Oryzias latipes: one gene and its partner. The protein of the gene in region 1 purifies or fractionates together with the protein of each later gene. This does not show direct contact. Links are inferred from orthologs where the notes say so. Each region holds a gene or a part of one and is shown in the gene's direction. Other genes may lie near its edges.

Region 1 (10,577 bases):
ATTACATCCTACTCTACATTTTTCAGACAAGCTCAGTGTTTACAGACCGGTCCAATTTTTCATCCACCTGCAGTCCAAGGCCTGTAAAAGAGGCACCCGCCTCAATCTCCTCACTGCTGATGGCGACACCTGCTCCATTTTAACTCAATGATATTGAAATTTCCTGTAAAGTTAATCACAAGATGTTTTTGTTTTACTCTTTCTGTGCAATTGTACTTTCATCATTCCAGTTTTCCATCACACACAAGTTTGATCAAATATAATTTTCTAACCTTGTACTTTTACCATGATATCAGATACTTTCTTCATCTTCAGTTCACTGCAACACAAAACTAGCTCTTATCTGCTTTAATCTGCCTTGATCAGCAGCACTATGTGTATACTACACTTCACGGTAATCTTCAGGGCAGGTGCATGAGGCTCTGCTGAGTTGCAGGCCTGAGGATTACGGTAAGGTCTTTAAGATTGCCTCCACATCCAGTCTTTTATTCTCCTCCATCCTTACCTGCTGCAGCTGCAAGACGAACAGTAAAAGCGGGAAAATGAACCAGAAGGTGGTCCTCATAACTGGCTGCTCCTCTGGGATTGGGCTCGCTTTGGCTTGCCGCATTGCAAAAGATGAAAAGAAAAGGTTTATGGGTAAGTTTCAATGATTTAGTGTGAGCCTAAACTGTTTCTGAAAACATCCTTATTTTAATATTTGTACAATAATATGTTTGAAACAATGACCGCAATATTTAACAGTACACTGAAAACAGGATGTGGATGTTTAACAAATTAATGTTTTAAAAAAGAGACACCATCAGCAGAACTTAAGTCCATTTTTTAAAGTTTGAATATTTGGAGGCTGAGACTAAAAAGCATTTTAACCAGGTTTTAGGGTTTTATTGACGTTCTCCATTCTTGCCTGCTGCAAAAGACAAGAATGATGGAGAATGTTTGTTTACATGGTATTTATTTGCAAAAAATACAATGAAAAGAAATGTTTATATGGTTCTCATTGTAATATATTCTGTTGCTGTATCAAAATTCTGCTTTTATTGTCTCCGTATTAATTTATTACATAATCACTCTGAGCATTTCCAGATCATCTCAATCTGATTCCCTGCATTTATCTCCAAAATATCTAACATGAGCTGATCCTCCGATCTTTTAATTCTTGATCCTACCCGCCCTCTTCACAGAGAACCAATATTACGGGTAAAAATGCTTCCTTTAAAAAAGATTCCACTAACGATGACAAATGTTTTCTCTTTGGTTTATACTTATTCTGTTATCTTATAGGATATTGTTTTTTTTGTTTTTGTTGTTGGAAAGTGTTTTTATAAAGTCACATGCATTTCATCCATCCTTATATACAAGCTGTGGTTGAGTTCTTTCCTTCACTTTGTCCTTCCAGGCTTTGGCATGATGGTTCTGAATGTTGTAAAGATTACTCCACAACTCACTAATGAGGCCAGCCATGGCTCTGGACCCCCCTGAGGGATCTAAAGGATCAGTGTTTTGTCAAATGGGACAATCTGAAATGTGACTGAAGAATTGAATCACCAACCCTTTCTCTGAAAGGCAACTGTGAGCCACAGCCACCCAGGATTATTTCAAATTCAGTCTATGTGGAGTGGACTGTGCTTACACTAGGTTTCTGGTTCCAAGGTGGGACAGATTATTTGGGTTTAATTTCTCCAAACAAAACAATTCTAAAATGGTGAACACCTTTCTTAGCACACCAAGCAGGGGTTAGGGGATACTTCTGCTGCTTAAAAAGAGATCATAGTTACAAGTTTTGGTCAAAGTCTTTGAAAATGACTGTTAATTTTCTAAGGACAAAAGATGCCTGAAGAGCCTCTAAAATCAAGCAGAGGTCATTGTGCTTATTATAAAACTACTTTTATTTAGTGACACAGCAACTAAAAACTGCATCTTCCACTGAATGTTTTTCTCTTGCAGTCTATGCAACCATGAGGGACCTGCACAAGGCTAAGCCACTGATAGATGCGGCTGGTCGGACACTGGGCAGAACCTTGGAGATCAAGAAGCTGGATGTTTGTGATGAGGATTCCATCAAAGATTGTATTGACAGCCTACCAGAACGCAGGGTGGACATCCTCAGTATGTCGACTCTAGGTTCCTTTCATACATGAGTATTGTCTTGATATAAGTGTTATGACGCACCATAACAGACTTATTGAAGTTCTTTTTCGTGCAACATCTTTTGAGCACACTTTGTCAACATGACCCCCACATTTTTATTTCCTGGTAAAAGTAAGCAATGCAGGGATGGGCCTGATCGGACCCATTGAATGTCAGTCTATTGATGAGATGAAGACGGTCATGGACACAAACTTCTTCGGACTTGTGCGATTGCTGAAGGAAATCCTACCCGACATGAAAAAAAGGAAGAAAGGCCACATCGTGGTCATTAGCAGCGTGATGGGCATTCAAGGTGAGGACGGCTGCAATGCCTAGTTGATCATTTGTCTGTGACTCTCTGACCTGTGATGTTCTCTGTTTTAGGGATTTTGTTCAACGACGTCTACGCAGCATCCAAGTTTGCAGTGGAAGGTTTTTGTGAGAGCCTGGCTATACAAGCCTTGAGATTTAATCTCAAGTAAGATACTCAAACACACAAGGACAAAATTGTTAGTAACTGTCTTTTAATAGACACTGTTTACATTGATGTACTTTGGGTTCACCTTTAATATCTATGGAGGTTGTGTTGGGCTCTTTAGTTAATTTTAAGTGACCATTGTTAGGTTTTTTTTTATTACCAATAGAGAAACATCATCAATTTTGTCTAGGCAAATATTGCTAAATATGTATAACAGTGAAACGACAAGACACCAGGTTTTCCTAAACCCCTTTCCAAATTACAAAAAACAGTTTCCAGTTTACACATAATTTAAAATGCCTAGTTACAAAAGAAAACCAAATTTCAACCCCTTTTTTTTTTTACCAGAATCCAAGCAATTGTAATTAAAACTGTGAACTATGTTTTTAGCATCAGTTTGATTGAACCAGGCCCGGTGCTGACAGAATTTGAACGAAAGGTCTATGACGAAGGTGTGAAGATCGATCTCAGCAAAGCTGACAAACCAACTGCTGATATGTTCACAAACATCTACCTGAAGAACTACAAGCAAATCTTTGAAACCCTTGGACAAAGTGCTGAAGACATCGCAGAGGTACACAGCCCCCCAAACATGCTCGTGTGTCAGTTATGTCATGTGTTTTGACATTCTGAAGCAAAGTTCTCTTTTGTTTTAGTGTTGTTGATTTTTTTGCTGTGTGTTTTCTTCTCAGCACACACTAAAGATCATCACCATGGAGAACCCGCCTTTTCGCCATCAGACAAACACACTTTACACCCCCATGACAACACTCAAATATGCCGACCCCAATGGTGACCTTCCAATTGACACATTTTACAAGATGGTGTTTGAGCACGACAAAGTCTTCAACGCTAGCCTTAACTTCCTCAAACTTCTGCGCTGGAGAAGTCGCAAGAGTTTCACCCTGGAAAAAGACAAGAACTGAGTGTTTCAGGATTTTAATTTCAAATGCAAAATACATCAGTGGTTCAGAATTTAAAATTACATTTTGAAAAGCCTTCTACAGAAGTAGTATTTGAATTGAGAGAGTATATGTATTTGAAGGCAATCTTAAATAAAAAAGGTTTGAGAAGTGTGTAAATTTTGATGCATGAGAACTGCTTAAACAGTTAACACAGTGGCGAATTCCACTGTGTTAATTAAAATTCACTTTAAACATGTTTAAATCCCACTTCTACCATCTTTTGATCTATTGTAAAATTGTTCCCAGTTATATTTTTCTGTTGCTCTCAATAAGCTGGCTAGCTTCTGTTAAAAAATCCAAAATTATTATTTAAACGAATTAACTAACACTAACAACAATATTTATCATAATTTCAAAGGAAGTTCTATTTCTTTATTAATTTTTCTATGCCACTAAATAAAGATCATTGTGAGAGAAACTACTGTTTGGCATTTTGAAATGTTTGTCTTTAGAAATTACATTAGATCAAGTTCTACAGGTAGAACTTGATTTAATGTATATTTACACTTTTTGGAAGTGTAAATATAACTTAAAAACAAAATGTTCACACATGGCAACGGGGCAACTCTAAGTCAGATAAAACAAAGAATAGTAGGGATGTAACACTTAATTAATTTATTTATCCAGATCAAAGTCTGAGACAAGTTGTTAATCAAATCGATAAATACCATAAGATCATTTCAAAATTAAATTGACTATAATCTTTACTGAAAAATACCATTTGGATTGAGGCATTGTAGGTTTATTTTACTGTAACTTAAAAATGACCACGTGCATCACAGTGGACAACACACACACACACGAGATGACAGCAAAACACTTTTGATTTAGCAAAGACGTGACCAAACAGTGTGGTAGAATGTTCTGATAATGTTCCATTTGTATTATTTTTTATGTGGAAAAACAACAGTAGGCAAAACTTTATGAAACTAAAATGTGAATGGATTTGACATTGGTACTTGATTACTGGCTTGTTTGTACACATATTTAATTTACACTTGATTATCTTGAAAGAAATACAAGGAATGTGGAAAAACTTCACCTTGCACTGTTAGTACCCAGGTATTTATCTCTGAGCCACATTGGTTGAATATTTGGCTGAAGATGTTCTGGATCAAAATAAGGTCAGTGAATCGTAATAAATTTACTGGTTCACTATGATCTAAAATTAACTATGAATCATATCAGCAACCACAAATTATATGAATCAAATTATTCTTAATATTAATGTTACAACTGCTAAAAACAATGCATTTGTAGATACATACTTTTTTTTTCTTCATTTAAAATAAATATATTTCCAAAAGTAGGCAATCTTAGAAAAATCAGAGATAATAGTTTGGTTTTGTAACGAAAGAAAAAAAAGATAATTACATCTGTAGCTCCCTGCGGAACAATTTCCAATCATTTGTTGTACCACCCGACTCCATCCTGGTGGGCACCGGAAATTGTTATAGCGCACACTCGGAGCCAATCAAAAACGCCCTTTGTCTGACGTCGTAACCGGACACATTTCAGCTAATGTTTGTACAGTACACAACTCCAAATTATAAACCTAAACAAAACATCTGCAATCAAATTTTGGTCAAGTTCAGGACTTACATATAAATACTCCAATTATTTACGAGTAGAACTGACTATAATTCTTGCGCTTCGTAAAGCAAACAGCTCCGCTTCATCTGCGCTTAATTGTTAGCTTAGCTTAGCCATGCTCTCCGCTTTCATTGGACTTGTGTGCTGCGTCTCAGTTTCGCCACGGACGACGGATATAAGGATATAATTTTTCTTCCCCCTCCCTTTTTTTACTGTAAGCTTCAGAGCAATCTTGGACATTTATTCGCCGATTAAATACGATATAGGAGCGCCGCTCAAGCAACAGAACCTGCTCATTGTTTGACATTTGGTTGGTAAGCTAGCCAGTGGGCTAACTTAGACTAGCTCGCTTGGCAACATTTCCATCGATATTTTCTTGAACCGTTATCTGTCTACTGTAACATGGACATAGAGAAGACAGTGAACGCGTGATAAATCTTCTCGAAGAAGCGGAGTTCCACTATTCTGTTCCTTTCCCCCCTTTTTTCATCACTATGGCTTCCTCGTCTGGAAATGACGACGACCTCACCATACCGAGAGCAGCTATCAACAAAATGATCAAAGAAACTTTGCCTAACGTACGGGTGGCCAACGATGCCAGGGAGCTTGTGGTCAATTGCTGCACAGAGTTCATCCATCTTATTTCCTCCGAGGCGAATGAGATCTGTAACAAATCCGACAAGAAGACCATATCTCCAGAGCATGTCATTAACGGTTGGTTCTCATTTACATGTATTTACCACCTCTTTAAATATCGCTCGTCCTTTATGTGGGTGGGTGTGTGTGTGTGTGTGGGGGGGGGGGGGATGCAAAGGAGCACGGATCCTCCTGCAAGCTTCACATCATAGAAAGTGTAGTTTCAACCTCGTGTTTCTGCACCACAGCCCTCGAGAGCCTTGGTTTCGGCTCGTACATCACAGAGGTGAAAGACGTGCTGCAGGAGTGCAAAACGGTTGCTCTTAAGAGGAGGAAGGCCAGCTCTCGACTGGAAAACCTGGGCATTCCGGAGGAGGAACTCTTGAGGCAGCAGCAGGAGTTATTTGCCAAGGTCTGATCTCAGAAAACTGCACCTTCAAATGTGGCTTGAACACCCACAATAATATTAACCTACAGATCATGATGAACACGGGCACACAACTTGTACTTTTCATTTGAGGTACAGAAGGGCTTGGTTTTGTTAACATTTTCAAAAGTTTCTAAACTGGTCATTCCATTTAAGGATATCAATCCCCTTTAAGATTGGATGCAAACAAATTTAGGTGTTTTAATAGAAAATACTTAACTAAGCTCATAGAGGAAGTATTTAAGATGAAAAAAAATCTTTTCCTGTCAAGTATTGTAGAAATGAAGACATGTACACACAAAACAATTTCAAATATCATATAGGCATACACATTTAAATCAACCTGAATGTAACTTCCTCTTTGAGTTATGCTGATTGTCCTGAAACAAAGCACTCTCTGCTCATTCAAAGTAAGTTAATGTGGCCCTTTCAGCTTTAACTGACAGGCCATGGTGTGTTTTTGCTAAAGGTTTTTTACTTTAAAGACCCACTCAAATAAAATATCATGTTTTTGGTGTTTTCTAAAATCTTCTTGTGGCATTTTTCTGATGATGGAAGACGTATCATAAGAAAAACAAGCTTCATATTACATTTCTGAGCATTTCTTCATTCAAATAGTTCTGAGTCAGGAGCAAACGACAAAATGCTGTGTGGAAAAAGCTACAATCGGCGGGCCACAAGCTTCCCTCTCTGCTCCATTCTGATACATCCTCTTGCAGACAAATGCATCCATGTACGTCTTTTTCCTCGTCTTAACAGGCTTCCGACTCAGCTATACAGCTGGAAATCCAATATTGCTTATCATTTTTGTCGCACTGGTAAAGTTAGGTTGGGGGTTTGAGGGGCTGTAAGCTAGAAAAATGCTACAAGAACATGTTAAAAACACCAAAAGCATGATTTTTATTTGAGTGGGTCTTTAAGGTCAGAGAGATGTATTTTGTTCACATTCCTTTAAAAAAAACATTTTGTTCCTATGTATTGCTTTGTTTGATTTGCTGCGTTGTATTTGATATTCATTTAATAAATATCCAACAACACAAGATAAACCTTTTTGAGAAGTTACATGTACGGTATATATTTAAAAAATTACCAAAAACTATTATTTCTGCAGTAACCGGCCGGACTCACTGCAGGTTGCCATGAGCTTGAATGGGTAAACCTGAAGTGCCACATTGTGTCAAGCACTCATGATAGAATGTGCGTCTTCTGCAGGCGCGGCAGCAGCAGGCGGAGCTTGAACAGCAGGAGTGGCTGCAGATGCAGCAGGCTGCCCAGCAGGCACAGATGGCAGCAGCATCTGCAAGCGTTGCCCAGCAGGCGGGCTCTTCTCAGGATGAAGACGAAGAGGACGAAATGTGACCCCCCCCCGCGACCCACTTTACTGTGTTTGAATTTAACGTTAGGAAAGTTTTGGTACACAAATCTCAGTTTTGCCATGAACAGGGACTTAAAACATGTTTGTGTACTTGAAATTTAGAAAGCTAAAGAAAGGGATGCGAGGGGAGAAACGGCCCCACATGCACATTCAAAGAAGCGTTTTTACCGGAAAATGGTAAAAATGGAAAGGCTGTTTGCGAAGTTTTTCATTAAATTTATATTCCCCTGGGTTTTTTTTTTCACTTTTATGTTCATTGTTAATTTATAGATTTTTCTTTACGTGTTGAGAGCACGTTCAAAGAGCAGACTTTGTGACAGATAAATTCACAGCAGATCTTTGCTCCTTCTGATACGGCATTAGAAGATCTGTTCAACTCATCCTTGGAGCTCAAACATGTTCAGAATTTCTGTTCAGGAATTTCCAAGCATCTGCTTTCTGCATCTTTCTCCCTTCTCGGTTTATTTGTCAAAGTGAATTCATGCAGCATGTGTGTTGGTATCTGTGCATCAGCGTCTGCCTGTGTACTGTGTAGGGTTAGATTTAGAGAGCATAGGCTAATGGCAGGACGCTAATGCCCATGTACTGCTGTTTGCTACATAGAGAACTTAAAAGGCATTATTGTTTAATTTTTAGATCATCCAGGCACTTCTTTTCCTTTAAACACCCACAGTATTGATAATTAGCAGCACCTACACATTTTTGTTTCATAGAACCAAAGATGGGGGATTTAACTTTTGTAGTTTTCTTTTCCTTTTTTAGATGTAGGTGCTGCTTAGTCAAGATCTTCTAAAAACCATGTCAAAGACAATAAACTTGAATCTCTGTGAGGCACTTGGGTGTCTAGGCTTACATTGCAGTTTCCATTCTAGTTCTTTTACAACATAATATATTTCCATCAGGAATTTGGGACATCTTTGGAAAAAACCAACCACCTTATTGTGATATGCATTTATTGTCTGTTCTACAGAAATGTATTCTTTCAACAATAAAATAATTTTTTATAGACTTTTTTTTTTTTAATCTTCTAAGATGTACTGTTCTGCTTGCTTACATTATTATGGTATCTTTTTCTATGACCTTTGTATAATAAAGCAAAGTACATTCTGCTTCATGCTTCCTAGGAAAAAAATAACAAAATAAAAATAAACTACTACATTAGTATATTTCTATCAACTAAAAGTGGCAGAACTGTGATCAAAAACAATGTTTCTGAAGTATAGACTAAATTAAACTACTGCTCAATAATTAGGTTAAATCTTGATTTTGAGCTTAATGCATTTTGTGGAAACAAAATGTGGAGTGGTAGAGTGGTCGACATATGAGTGGAAGGTCGCTGGTTCAGTTTCCGCTCTGCTTGGCGATGTGTTGAAGTGTCCTTGTCACCACTGAAACCCACATTGCTCCCCGGAGGTTATATGTTGGCGCCAGAGTTCAGCAGCAGAGCTGCTATCAGTTTGTGAATGGGTCTCTGACTGTAAAGGGCTTCTTAGAAGGTAGCAAACCGCTATGTAAATTACCCTCATATACTATTTACGTCACTTGATCCCGGCATGCTTTTCAAAAATCCATGAAAGCGAAAAACAGTTTTACTCTCAAACCTGACCTTTACTAATGAAATAAAATGTTTCTATTGCAACATTTACTGTAGAGTGAATGACAGCTGTTTATTCTGCTGTGGAGGCCACCATAGGCTGTTTTTTTGCTGCTAAAGTTTATGGAGCCTTATGCAATTGCACCTGTAACCCTTGTGCTATCCTAGGCACTTTAACATTGGGAGTTGGGTCATGTAGACCCACTATACAGTGCGCTAAATCTTTTTTCTTTAATGATTTGTGATCTTCACTGGTGTCCATGGATTACATGAAATCTTTCAACCTTTATCCACCTTTGTCATGGTTGGGAGAACACGTCAATGTAAGGGTGGGGTCATCTAAGATAGCGCAAGGGTTAAGCAGGCATCACCAGTCAGTGCAATATCAATTTGGTTATTGTAGGTGGTCCAGTCATTGCATGTTTTTACCTCAGAAACATCCTAGAACCTAGGGTTAACATTTAGAGTAATCAAATAACCTATGAAGCATGTTTTTGGACTGTGGGAGGAAGCTGGACTGCACGGAGAAAACCCATACATGCATGAGGGGAATATGCTAACTACACACATAAAGGATCCAGCTGGGATTCAAGCCAGAGCCTTCTTGCCATGAGGCAAGAGTGCTAACCACTGTTCCACAGTGCAGCCTGAGCTGGATCTTCTTACTCCATATTTGGTCAGAAAGGGAAACACTGCCCTCATTTGACAATGTAAAGGAACATCAGTTAGTGATAGGGGAGTAATGATTTGTTTTAACAATGATTCGATTCATATCACAATTTCTAGTTGACCATACAATTCATGGTCAATATTCGTTCATTTTGAATAATCCGATTCCCTGACCCAGAATCAACCAGCGTGACTCAGAGATAAAAACTTGCGTACTGAACAGTGGTAAATGGTAATGGTAAATGGCGTATACTTATATGGCGCTTTCTACCCTCTTTCAAAGGCCCAAAGCGCTTTACAGTCACAGTCCCATTCACCCATGCACACACACATTCACACACTGATGGCGGCTCCGCTGCCGAACACTGGCGCCAACCTCCCACCAGAGGCAAGGTGGGGTTCAGTGTCTTGCCCAAGGACACTTCGACACATGGGCGTGCAAGGCGGGAATCGAGCCTGCAATCTTACGATCATGGGTCGACCGCCCTACCGCTGCACCACGGCCGCCCAATGCAGGGGAAGCTCTCCACATTCCTTGCAAGATAATTAAGAGTACATTAAATATGTGAACGAACAAACATGTAAACAATAATTAATATGGTGCTAGTCTTATTAACCCTTGTGCTATCTTAGATGACCCCACCCTTACATTGACGTTTTCTCCCTACCATGACAAAGGTGGATAAAGGTGGAAAGATTTCATGTAATCC
Region 2 (10,515 bases), on another chromosome or scaffold:
TTTGTTTTGTTTTTTTGCTTTGTTTTTTGCTCTACTTTTTTTTCTTTCTTTCAGCTGAAGTCAAGAGGGTGAAGTTTGGCGCTCAGGAGTCCAGAGGATCTGATCAGGTCATGGCCAATCGAGGAGGAGCTACAAGACCCAATGGACCCAACGCAGGCAACAAGATCTGCCAGTTCAAGCTGGTGCTGCTGGGGGAGTCTGCTGTGGGGAAGTCCAGTTTGGTGCTTCGTTTTGTCAAAGGACAGTTCCATGAATTCCAGGAAAGCACGATAGGAGGTGAGCTGCATGCTGTATGTTCAGTTTAGGACTTTGATTGTTGTGATCCGGTACTTTTAACTGCATTTGAGTCCTGTTTACAATAGGATGACAGTTTGTGCTAAGCCTGTGGTTTTTGACTAACCCACTCGCCTCATTTCCATCGCCAGCGGCCTTCCTCACCCAGACAGTCTGTTTAGATGACACGACGGTGAAATTTGAAATCTGGGACACAGCTGGTCAGGAGCGATACCACAGTTTGGCACCCATGTATTACAGAGGAGCACAAGCAGCCATTGTGGTCTACGACATCACAAACGAGGCACGTTCATGTCGCGCAGAAAGCGCTGGAACTATGGAGCTTTAGCTCCAGTGTTGGCCTTCTTTGACTTCCCGTAACTATTCAACTGTTTACGCAATTAACATAAATGAACGGATTCTGGAACTTTACAGTAGTGACGTTTTGAAATAAATAACGTAAACCAACTGATTGGGACGAGGAGAAAAGCACTCTTTACAGTAGTAAGTCTTGATTGACGTAGTTAACATAAAAAAAAGGTTTCTGATGAGGAGAAAAATGATCGTAGAGTTACGGTACTTCAAAGAGAGTGTAATGTTAGCTTCAGGTTCATGTTTATTTTCCCCTCAAGAATTGGCCCAAGTGAAAGTTTAGCTAACATGCCTTTTCGTAGGAGTCCTTCGCACGAGCAAAGAACTGGGTGAAGGAGCTACAGAGACAAGCTAGCCCCAATATAGTCATCGCTCTGGCGGGCAACAAGGCGGACTTGGCTAACAAGAGAGCTGTCGAATTTCAGGTGAGCAAGAACACGCCATATTTAGTTCTATTTAAATCCCACGGATGCTTAAATACATTGACAGCCGGAACGCTTGCTGGATGTTTAGCTTCAGTGGATTCTCCGTGTTGTTTCAACAGGACGCCCAGTCTTACGCAGACGACAACAGCTTGCTGTTTATGGAGACCTCAGCCAAGACATCGATGAATGTCAATGAGATATTTATGGCAATTGGTGGGTAATTCAAATGAATTCATGTTTTTCTATTGTAATAGGAGACATTGTGGTCGATCGCATGTTTGTATTCTCTTGCATAGAAGTGCTTGCACAGTGGGTGTGTTACTGAGACTTGTGATCACAAGTCAATTCTTCAATTGAGCAATAATAGAGCGTTGACGAATATCATGGCTTCATCAAATCCGCCAGACATGAGTCACTGCAGGGAGATAATCCACTGCATAATCCAATGTCGGCTGGTTCTACGTCACTATTTTTTAATGAAATAAAATAGTTTATTTGTAAACAACTTTTAAAAGAAGTATTTTTTTTTTCACATTTTTGTGACTTTTTATTCTTTAGCAAAGAGATTGCCGAAGAGTGAGCCTCAGGCTCCAGGAGCCACCAGCGGGCGGAACCGTGGAGTGGACCTGACAGAAGCCGCCCAGCCGGCCAAGGCTCCATGCTGCTCCAACTAACAGGAAGAACACAGTTTTCCAACACCTGCATACTAGTTACTGATGTGGCTCGTGCCACCGAAGCTACTAAAACAATGTGTCAGTCATTGTTTGAAGCCAGAAAAGATATCCTGCGCCCAATTAACCCCTCCATCCTGCCCCCCCCCTTCTCTTCGACTTTTTCTGTACCGTGACCCGATGAAGCCTCCTAACCACTTTGTCTTACTTTTATGCCACCAACTCGTCCATCAAGTAGAATTGATGGATTGAGAACAGAAGCAGGCGTCCCTGTTGCTTAAGCAGATGAGAGTTGTTGGTGGAGGAATCCCTTTTACTGGAATAGCTTAAAGCCTAACTGCTGTTTTGTTTTTATTAATACGTTAATCATTGTTTAGATTTGTGGAAATGATGAATTCCCATCTGGGTAAGTCAAAAGAGACAAATGTGTTCTAACAAAGTCTGTTGGAGAAGAATTCTGAATCTGAGAGGGGAGGTGGTGGAACTCTGTGCTCCCTCTCGACCCTTTTTACTTTAACGGATAGAAACAAAAGGCTTTTTTAAAATCTGATTCCCTTCACTGACCCTGTCCGTATCCTTCACTTCCACTAAATTCACTCTATTTATTTTTTTCTTCTCCCCTCTCCACACCTCTGGGCTCCATCATGGCTCTGTGCCTGCCTGTAGCCTGTCCATAGCGGCATTGTGCAATGTTTTGCAGTATTTACTCTTGAGGTGAGCGTCTGCCAGGACCAGCGCTGCACAGCGGAACCCCTTCCTCACTCACCCACACCTGATGTGTTATGTCTTATCATAGACCCTCATGCGCTCAGACGGGGGATTTAAGTCCAGGATCGTCTGACGGATTTGTCGCAGTTGTTGCAGGGTTTTTGTTAAAAAGAGTGATGATCGGAGCTTTGCAATATGTATGAATTCTTCGTAATTATGTTGGAATCATAATTATTTGACATCTTAAAAAAGTGCTTTAGACACACTAGTGTCATTATCCGCAATCTGGGCCTGAAACGGTGACGAATTTCAGAAGGAGATGAAACAACACACTCGTTTGTGTGTGTGTGTGTGCACGTTGGAACTCACATTTGCACAATAAAAACAAAAACAGATTCACTTTCTCCGCCGAGCTCTTTTCTGCTCTAGATCAGCTCATATTCTGTCTGTTACACCTTATTGGTCCGTTTCCTACACATTGTCACATAAACACCCGCGGCATTAAGACTTCAGTCTTTTTTTGTTGTTTTTTTTTTTGTTACAGATCGGTTTTATTCACGTCTTGCACTAATGATTCTCATAAAATTTCTCTAATTTCAGGTGTGATTATAAATATATACATAATATAAATATATAAATAATTTACTGTAAATATCATGTTGCAGTGTAGTCTACCCTTTTTCTTTTCATTTTACCAACTACTGCTTGCTAGGGAGTTGTTTAGATAATCAAGGAGAAGACAAAAAGTGTAGTTTAAAAAAAATGGCTACATTCTCAGTTTGGACCTTTTTTTTTCCCACACACAAGGATGCATAATAAACAGTGGTGGTCTTTATGTATGTAGTGATATTAACAAAAAAATAGCATTTATTTAGAATCCATTTCTCCAAATAAAAAAATGTTTATCTGAACTTTTGTGTGTTGCGTGTGTTGTGTGAGCGTGTGTGTGTGTACAGAGACAATGATGCCTTGTTCTTTTCCCTGTGTGTAGAGAGGAATTTCGATACGCACCACAATCAGATATCACATTCAGAAGGATGAAAATCCACTGGCCTGGAGCGATTTGTGACCATACTGGATTTTTTTAAATGTTATTTTATTCCAAAACCACTTAAAGATGGCATTTTTTTGTGTGAAAATACTTATTTGCATTAAAGGATAGTCTAAAATGCAAGTGTTTGACAGCACTGTTATGTAATGACCAAATCAATACTGAAATAAATGTGATCATTTGTCATTGTGGTACGACTTTTTTGTGTATATACACCTCATGTCACTTTACTTTGACATTTTTTTTATTTTTTCGGTGTTTTTTTACTTTTATTTATGCTTCATTGCTTTATTGTCTGAAAATGTGCTAAAATTATGGACAAATGACCTTGAAATTCTTTGCCTGCATTTTGTGACCTCTCTGAAATGTGTGCAAGTCAGAGGATCAGCGCTGCGCCCCCTAGTGGAGGAAATCGGCCCCACAGCGAGAAATTGAAAATAAGGATGAGCGCCATGTCTGATTCTCTGCTTGTGGAATAGAGCGGACGGCGCTGCGAGCTTTCCCCGGGCCTTCTGGGTTTTTTGTGGGGGATAATGGCCGACAGCGCTGGAATTCAACAAGGCTCGCCGGCCATCGGAGCCGCCGGCCTTGTCCCAGCCGCCCCCGGTGCCGGGGGAACGGAAGGCTCCGGCGCCGCTGGAGGATCCGCACGTATCGTCGCGAAGAAGGCGCAACTCCGCTCCTCGCCTCGGCCGAAGAAACTGGAAAAACTCGGAATTTATTCGTCATGCAAAGTATGCACTCCCGCAGTGGACGGACTGCCGGAACAGTGAAGTTTGTAGTGCGCGTTGGTCTTGGAGGATTTTCCTCTGAGGTTAGGTTGCAATAGTTCAGTATCGCATTATCATATGCAAACCCAGCAGAGGAAGCCATTGCCCCACTTTTTCTCCCCTCTTCATTTTTGTCCTCCGTACACAACCGAGAGGGGAGTCTTTAAAACTGCGGCGCGCGTGACGCTTGTTTTAGTTCACACTAGGACTCTTAAAGTAGTGCCTTCCCCCCGGAAAGCGTTTATAGTGTGACTGTGTGTCAAAGAGGGGGTCGCCTCGCGCTGTTTAGGAGTAACAAGCTAACGGAGGTAAAAATAATAAAAAAAAAAATTTCTGTTTGTGGTCACGTGCGCGCTTATGCCACTACAGGAATTTTTCCACGCTTGCCCGAGGCGTTTAACGGAGCGCGGGGGGAAGCACGGAGCAGGTTATTGGGCTTGTGCGGCGGGTGATCCGCAGAGAGGGAAGGGGTCTTTGTTTTGACAGGGTGACAGCTGCTGCGGTGGGCGGAGTTTGTTGTAGTTCCAAGCGCGTGCGCAGAACAGCGTAGCCAACTGACAGCGGTGTCAGTCCTGCTCCTCCCCCAAAATGTCGCCTCCGGAAATCTGTCTCAATTGTATGGAGGCATTTTAAGTCATGATTAGAGTAAAATTTAATTGTGAATTGACATTTCAGGCTTGGAAAACGAAAACACATTTTGAAAATTAGGATTCAATATCTAAATTTATATTTCAATATGACAATTTTAAAAATAAAATATTGAAAAAATGCATTTGTAACCCTTGTGCTATCCTAGGCACTGTAACGTTGGGAGTTGGGTCATCTAGACCCACTAGACAGTGCTCTGAACCTTTTTTCTTCAATGATTTGTGATCTTCACTGGTGTCCATGGATTACATGAAATCTTTCCACCTTTATCCACCTTTGTCATGGTAGGAAGAACACGTCAATGTAAGGGTGGGGTCATCTAATATAGCACAAGGGTTAAATCGTATAATCATATTGCAAATTGAATTTTTAATTGAGAATTGCATATCACTTTGAATTGTGGCTCAAAAAAACGTTGATACAATTGAGACTAAAAAGAGTATTCAAAACCCATGCTACTTATTAAATTAGAAAAGCAAAAAAGTTTATTTATTTTACAAATAGGGACGTATTTGTTGCTGGAGATAATTTTAGTGGAATCTTATTTGGCGCGTGCTAATACAAAAAAATGTTTGTGACTACTGCCCCCTAAAGGTTGAGATCAGGAACTGAATTTAGGAAGAACCACGCGATGAAAATATGTATTTTTTGTCTTTCTAATATGTTCTCCAGACATTTTTCATGAAAAAAAGACAAACATAAAGAAAATTAAGTTAGAAATTGCATTTCTAAGTCTTTATTCAAATCATTGTGAATCAAGAGCAGACGAAAGAATGCAGTCTGAAAAAGGTTTTAGTTGGGATGTAGAAATTACACTGTGCGGGCGAAATGCTCCGTGATCTCCCCCCCATTCTGATGCATCCATTTGTAGACGACTTGTACATCTTCGTTTTCTTTATCCGAGCTAGCGTCTGGCACAAAACTCTTCAGAAGGATAGTTCTGATATTGCTTGACATTTTTGTTGCACTGTTAACGTTAACTCTGGGTTGTGAGGGGCTGTGAGCTAGTGGGAGACAGTGTAAACGGAGAACTCTCAACAAAGGGGAGGGGAAGGGAGGTGGGGTTGCTACACGCCAATGTTTTCTGCCTAGAAAATGACCCGTTTTTTAAAATTTTGCCTAAAATCGTAACTGGGAACGCTTTTATAATTTATCAAAAATAATCGGAGTTGGTCTTCAAATAATTCCAATGGGAGGAGGAGATGAACATTGGCAATTGTATCGATTTAATCATTCTGGCAAAATTACAAAGCCGTTTTGGAAAAAGTGTTGATTAAAGACAGAAGACGGGGTCGCCAACAGTTGCGGTGGTAGGCCCTCTTTTGGAATGTCCCATCTTCTAGTCTTTACCTAAAGCATACATAGCTCATTATTGGTATCATCAAAACTAAATAAAATAGGTAACTTTGTTTATGATTGTATATTTAAAAATGAAATAAAAAAGATATAACAATTTTAATGTTTTTCCTTATAGGCTGAGGGGCCCTGTAAATGTAATGGCTGGAAAAGCCAGAACCCCCCTCCCACACCCCCCCAAACCGACCAGCAGACCAACACAGTGAACCTACAGGAGCCCTGCCGCAGCTGCTCCCACACTCTGGGTATGTTGTATTTCCAGTTGCCTGCAATAATCCTCCTTCAGATCTTGGAAGATTCCAGCCTCTGTCACCTCACAGGCGATCACGTGAGCCATCTAGAAAATATATCGGAAGAGGAAATGAACCGACTCCTAGGTGTCGTCCTGGACGTGGAATACCTGTACACGTGTGTCCACAAAGAGGAGGATGCTGACACTAAACAAGTCTACTTTTCACTGTTTAAGGTACATTTCTAGCGTCACCATTTTTTTCTTTTTTCATAAACACTGTTACCTCACTCACCAACGGCGGCTTGCCTTTCAGCTTTTAAGGAAATCCATCTTGCAGATGGGTAAACCGATGTTGGAAGCACAAGAGAGTCCTCCTTTTGAAAAACCCAGCATTGAACAGGTGAATTAAAGAAATCCTGGTGGGGTTTTTTTTAACTAAATTGTAAGATTCATTTCTTTTTTTATTTTAAATTTTAATTCAATAGGGAGTGAACAACTTTGTCCAGTACAAATTTAGCCATCTACCATCAAAAGAGCGTCAAACCATCATGGAGCTGGCGAAGATGTTTCTTAACCAAATCAACTACTGGCAGCTGGAAACACCGTCTCAAAGGCGCCAGAGGGTTCCGAACGAGGAAACGGCGGGATACAAAGTCAACTACACCAGGTACCGACCATGAACCCATCTGTCCCGCGCAGGTTTCAGTCAAACCCACTGAATGTATACGAGAACTGGACCGAGTGAGTGTGATGTCACCCATAAAAAATGAGTTCTGGCTCCAACCAAATGCAGTGAATTCTGTCATCATTCAGTCGCAATACGGACATTGCCATGTTGGACCCAGACGACGTTGGTAAAGGCCGTGTGACGCTTATTACACATGTGAAAATTGGTCATATATGAATATGTGTGGAAAAGGGGAGAAAAGTAGTGGTCTTTACGCAAAATGTTCACAGATCTATCAAGAATGAACCACGTTAAAACCGTGGAAGAAGTACAAAAAAAAAACACGCAAAGAACAATCAATCTGTTCATAACTTGAATAACTTTCCTAACAGAAACAATGTGAAAAAAATGAGAACGAGAAAGTGTTTATAAAATGTTTATAAAAAGTAGCCGAGCAAGAATGGTTATTCTGACAAATAGAATGAGTAACAGCTTTTTTTTTCTCAATAGGAGTCTATGGGATTATGTTTTCTTGGAGCCAGTGAGTACTTCCTGTTTGGAACACGGGGAGGGGGGTGTCACTCAGTCCAGTTCTTTGATACAGTCAATGGTCAAACCACAGAGATCCAAAAAGTAAGGGGTCCCCCTTTCTCAGGTGGCTGTGCTACTGCAATGTGCCCCAGTTCTGCGACAGCCTGCCGCGGTACGAAACCACCCAGATCTTCGGTCGGACGCTGTTGCGTTCTGTGTTCACCATCATGAGGAAGCAGCTGCTGGAGCAGGCCAGGCAGGAGAAGGACAAGCTGCCCCCAGAGAAGCGCACGCTCATTCTGACACACTTTCCAAAGTAAGACAGCAGCCGCATTCAGACAAACTGAACAAGTTTTCAAAGAAACTATTAAGAACTGTCTGTTAAAAATCACAGTAATTCAAATTCCAGCTAATAAACTAAAACTAAAGGAACTAGAATTTGAAAATAACTCACAACAGGGACCAGGAATATTTTAGAAATATAAAAAACACATTCTTATGAACCCATTCCACTCAAAGTCACAGAGTGATTATTACATTTTCATAAGATTGAATCAATTTCAAACTTTCATTGCAAAACTAACTTATAGCGTTATGTGCGTCACAGACGCACAAAAACCGATGATAAAATCCTGGCTTTATTGATAAATAATGCAGTTACATGTTTAAGTCACGCTTGATTTCTTCTTCTAGGTTCTTGTCGATGTTGGAGGAGGAGGTGTACAGTCACAGCTCTCCTATCTGGAGTCTGGAGTTTTTGGCAGGAACTACAGGCGGGCAGATTCCCGTTCAGACTGGTAGAAAAAACTACCTATACCCAACGATTTTTTCCTAGTTTTTGGTATTCCAAGCTCCTGTGGTTGAATCCTTTTCTATTTCCGTCTATCTTCCCCAGTGATCAGCGCACCCCCAGTGACGAGGTCACTGTACTACAGCGCCAGTCCGGTTTCGGTGGAGCCATCCACATGCGGAAGCGTCAGTCCTGCCAGGAAACCCAACCCTACTTTGGAGTCGAACCCAGGTGGGAACCCAGGATTTGTGCAAAGAAATTGGAAAGGCAGCTCAGGGTCCATTTTCGACAGGTTCATTTTATATGCTTGATTTGCACTATGTGACTAAAATACCTTCTTGCATTGTCTGGATTTAGTCGTAGTGGGAGAAAAACGCAAAGCCTCTGAACCCCTTCACCACGAAGAAAACAAAAGACCACGGGTGATGGGTGACATCCCCATGGATCTCATCAACGAAGTCATGGCGACCATCACCGACCCTGCCACCATTCCAGAGGTAGCTTTGAAGGATGTGTAATATCAATTCAACCATTTCCACTGCTTTATGCTTTTTTTTTTTCTTTCAGACAAGTCTACTGTCTGCTCATTCGGCTCGTGACGAAGCTGCGCGCCTTGAGGAGCGGCGAGGAGTGATTGAGTTCCACGTCATCGGGAACTCGCTGAACCAAAAGCCCAACAAAAGGATCTTGATGTGGCTGGTGGGGCTTCAGAATGTGTTCTCGCACCAGCTGCCCCGCATGCCCAAAGAGTACATCACACGGCTGGTGTTTGACCCGTGAGTCCACGTCTGTTCTCGACTCCGAACTGCTGCAAGACCCTTCTGAGTGAATTAAATAACAGCCATTTGAAACGTTTTGGTCCCGCAGGAAGCACAAGACGCTGTCATTAATCAAGGACGGGCGTGTGATTGGAGGAATCTGCTTCCGGATGTTTCCGTCGCAGGGTTTCACAGAGATCGTCTTTTGTGCGGTCACATCTAACGAACAAGTTAAAGTGAGAAGACACTCGGTTTCCCAGCTCTGCTTGTGCTTGGATGCACTTTTTACCTGTCGCTGTTTGGCTGCAGGGCTACGGAACCCACCTGATGAACCACCTGAAGGAATACCACATTAAGCATGAAATTCTCAACTTCCTCACGTATGCCGACGAGTACGCCATCGGGTACTTTAAGAAACAGGTATACTGTTGTTTCTAGACGTAGAGAGATGTTGTGCAACTTTTCAGGGACTTTCTGGACACCCAGTCACATTGGCTTCCTTACAGGAGAGTATCATTTCAAGCCATTGTGTTTGAAATGTGATGTTGTTCCAGTAGGTGCTAATAATAGTAGTAATGAATACAGTAATCTTTATCTTGCTTTGTTTGATGCTAAATTGCTCCTATTTTCCTTCAGGGTTTTTCAAAGGACATCAAAGTTCCCAAGTCGAAGTATGTGGGCTACATCAAGGACTACGAAGGAGCCACGCTCATGGGCTGTGAACTCAATCCCAGCATCCCGTACACCGAGTTCTCGGTGATCATCAAAAAGCAGAAGGAGGTACGTATTGAGTTGGGTCCATGTCCTCGCTGCTTCCTTCCTGTAGCCCCACTCAACCCGGTGTCCCTCTTCCTGCTCAGATCATTAAGAAGCTGATCGAAAGGAAGCAGGCTCAGATCAGAAAGGTCTACCCAGGACTGTCCTGTTTTAAGGACGGAGTCCGGCAGATTCCCATCGAGAGCATTCCTGGCATACGTATGTTACGTTCACTGCTCGCTGTACGAAACGCTTTCCTCCCCAATGGGATCTCATTTTAGACGGTCTTTTCCACAGGCGAAACTGGATGGAAGCCTGCAGGTAAAGGGTAAGGTCATAAGCATCTGCCTCGAAGGACGCCTCATTTTTACAAAAAAAAATAAAACATTATTGTTACAATTTCTGCTTTTCTATTTCTATTTCAGGAAGGAACTGAAGGATCCAGAGCAACTGTACACCACTCTGAAGTCCATCCTCCAGCATGTGAAGGTGAAGGACAAACCCGTA

Evidence for each region.
Region 2: the proteins of dr1 (region 1) and histone acetyltransferase KAT2B purify together in Homo sapiens (affinity purification with mass spectrometry; 3 studies listed by BioGRID and IntAct, with this or other methods). This does not show direct contact. The link is inferred for Oryzias latipes from reciprocal best matches to the Homo sapiens genes DR1 and KAT2B.

What each region holds. Positions count from the first base shown.
Region 1 is NC_019862.2:24,026,115-24,036,691, reverse strand, and holds dr1 (protein Dr1), read left to right. Parts: upstream 1-5,042; 5' UTR 5,043-5,660; coding exon 5,661-5,880; intron 5,881-6,050; coding exon 6,051-6,214; intron 6,215-7,441; coding exon 7,442-7,588; 3' UTR 7,589-8,713; downstream 8,714-10,577. Other genes in the region: retinol dehydrogenase 8-like, read left to right, coding at 543-639, 1,948-2,109, 2,264-2,443, 2,515-2,608, 2,999-3,182, 3,301-3,534. UniProt on the Homo sapiens protein: The association of the DR1/DRAP1 heterodimer with TBP results in a functional repression of both activated and basal transcription of class II genes.
Region 2 is NC_019869.2:22,459,325-22,469,839, reverse strand, and holds the start of histone acetyltransferase KAT2B, read left to right. Parts: upstream 1-3,906; 5' UTR 3,907-4,033; coding exon 4,034-4,234; intron 4,235-5,667; exon of another isoform or gene 5,668-6,318; intron 6,319-6,392; coding exon 6,393-6,519; intron 6,520-6,594; coding exon 6,595-6,740; intron 6,741-6,819; coding exon 6,820-6,906; intron 6,907-6,991; coding exon 6,992-7,173; intron 7,174-7,828; coding exon 7,829-8,020; intron 8,021-8,397; coding exon 8,398-8,501; intron 8,502-8,599; coding exon 8,600-8,725; intron 8,726-8,851; coding exon 8,852-8,991; intron 8,992-9,061; coding exon 9,062-9,270; intron 9,271-9,361; coding exon 9,362-9,488; intron 9,489-9,561; coding exon 9,562-9,672; intron 9,673-9,888; coding exon 9,889-10,032; intron 10,033-10,112; coding exon 10,113-10,227; intron 10,228-10,305; coding exon 10,306-10,336; intron 10,337-10,433; coding exon 10,434-10,497; intron 10,498-10,515. Other genes in the region: ras-related protein Rab-5A, read left to right, coding at 55-276, 426-577, 948-1,070, 1,190-1,283, 1,629-1,744. UniProt on the Homo sapiens protein: Functions as a histone acetyltransferase (HAT) to promote transcriptional activation. Has significant histone acetyltransferase activity with core histones (H3 and H4), and also with nucleosome core particles.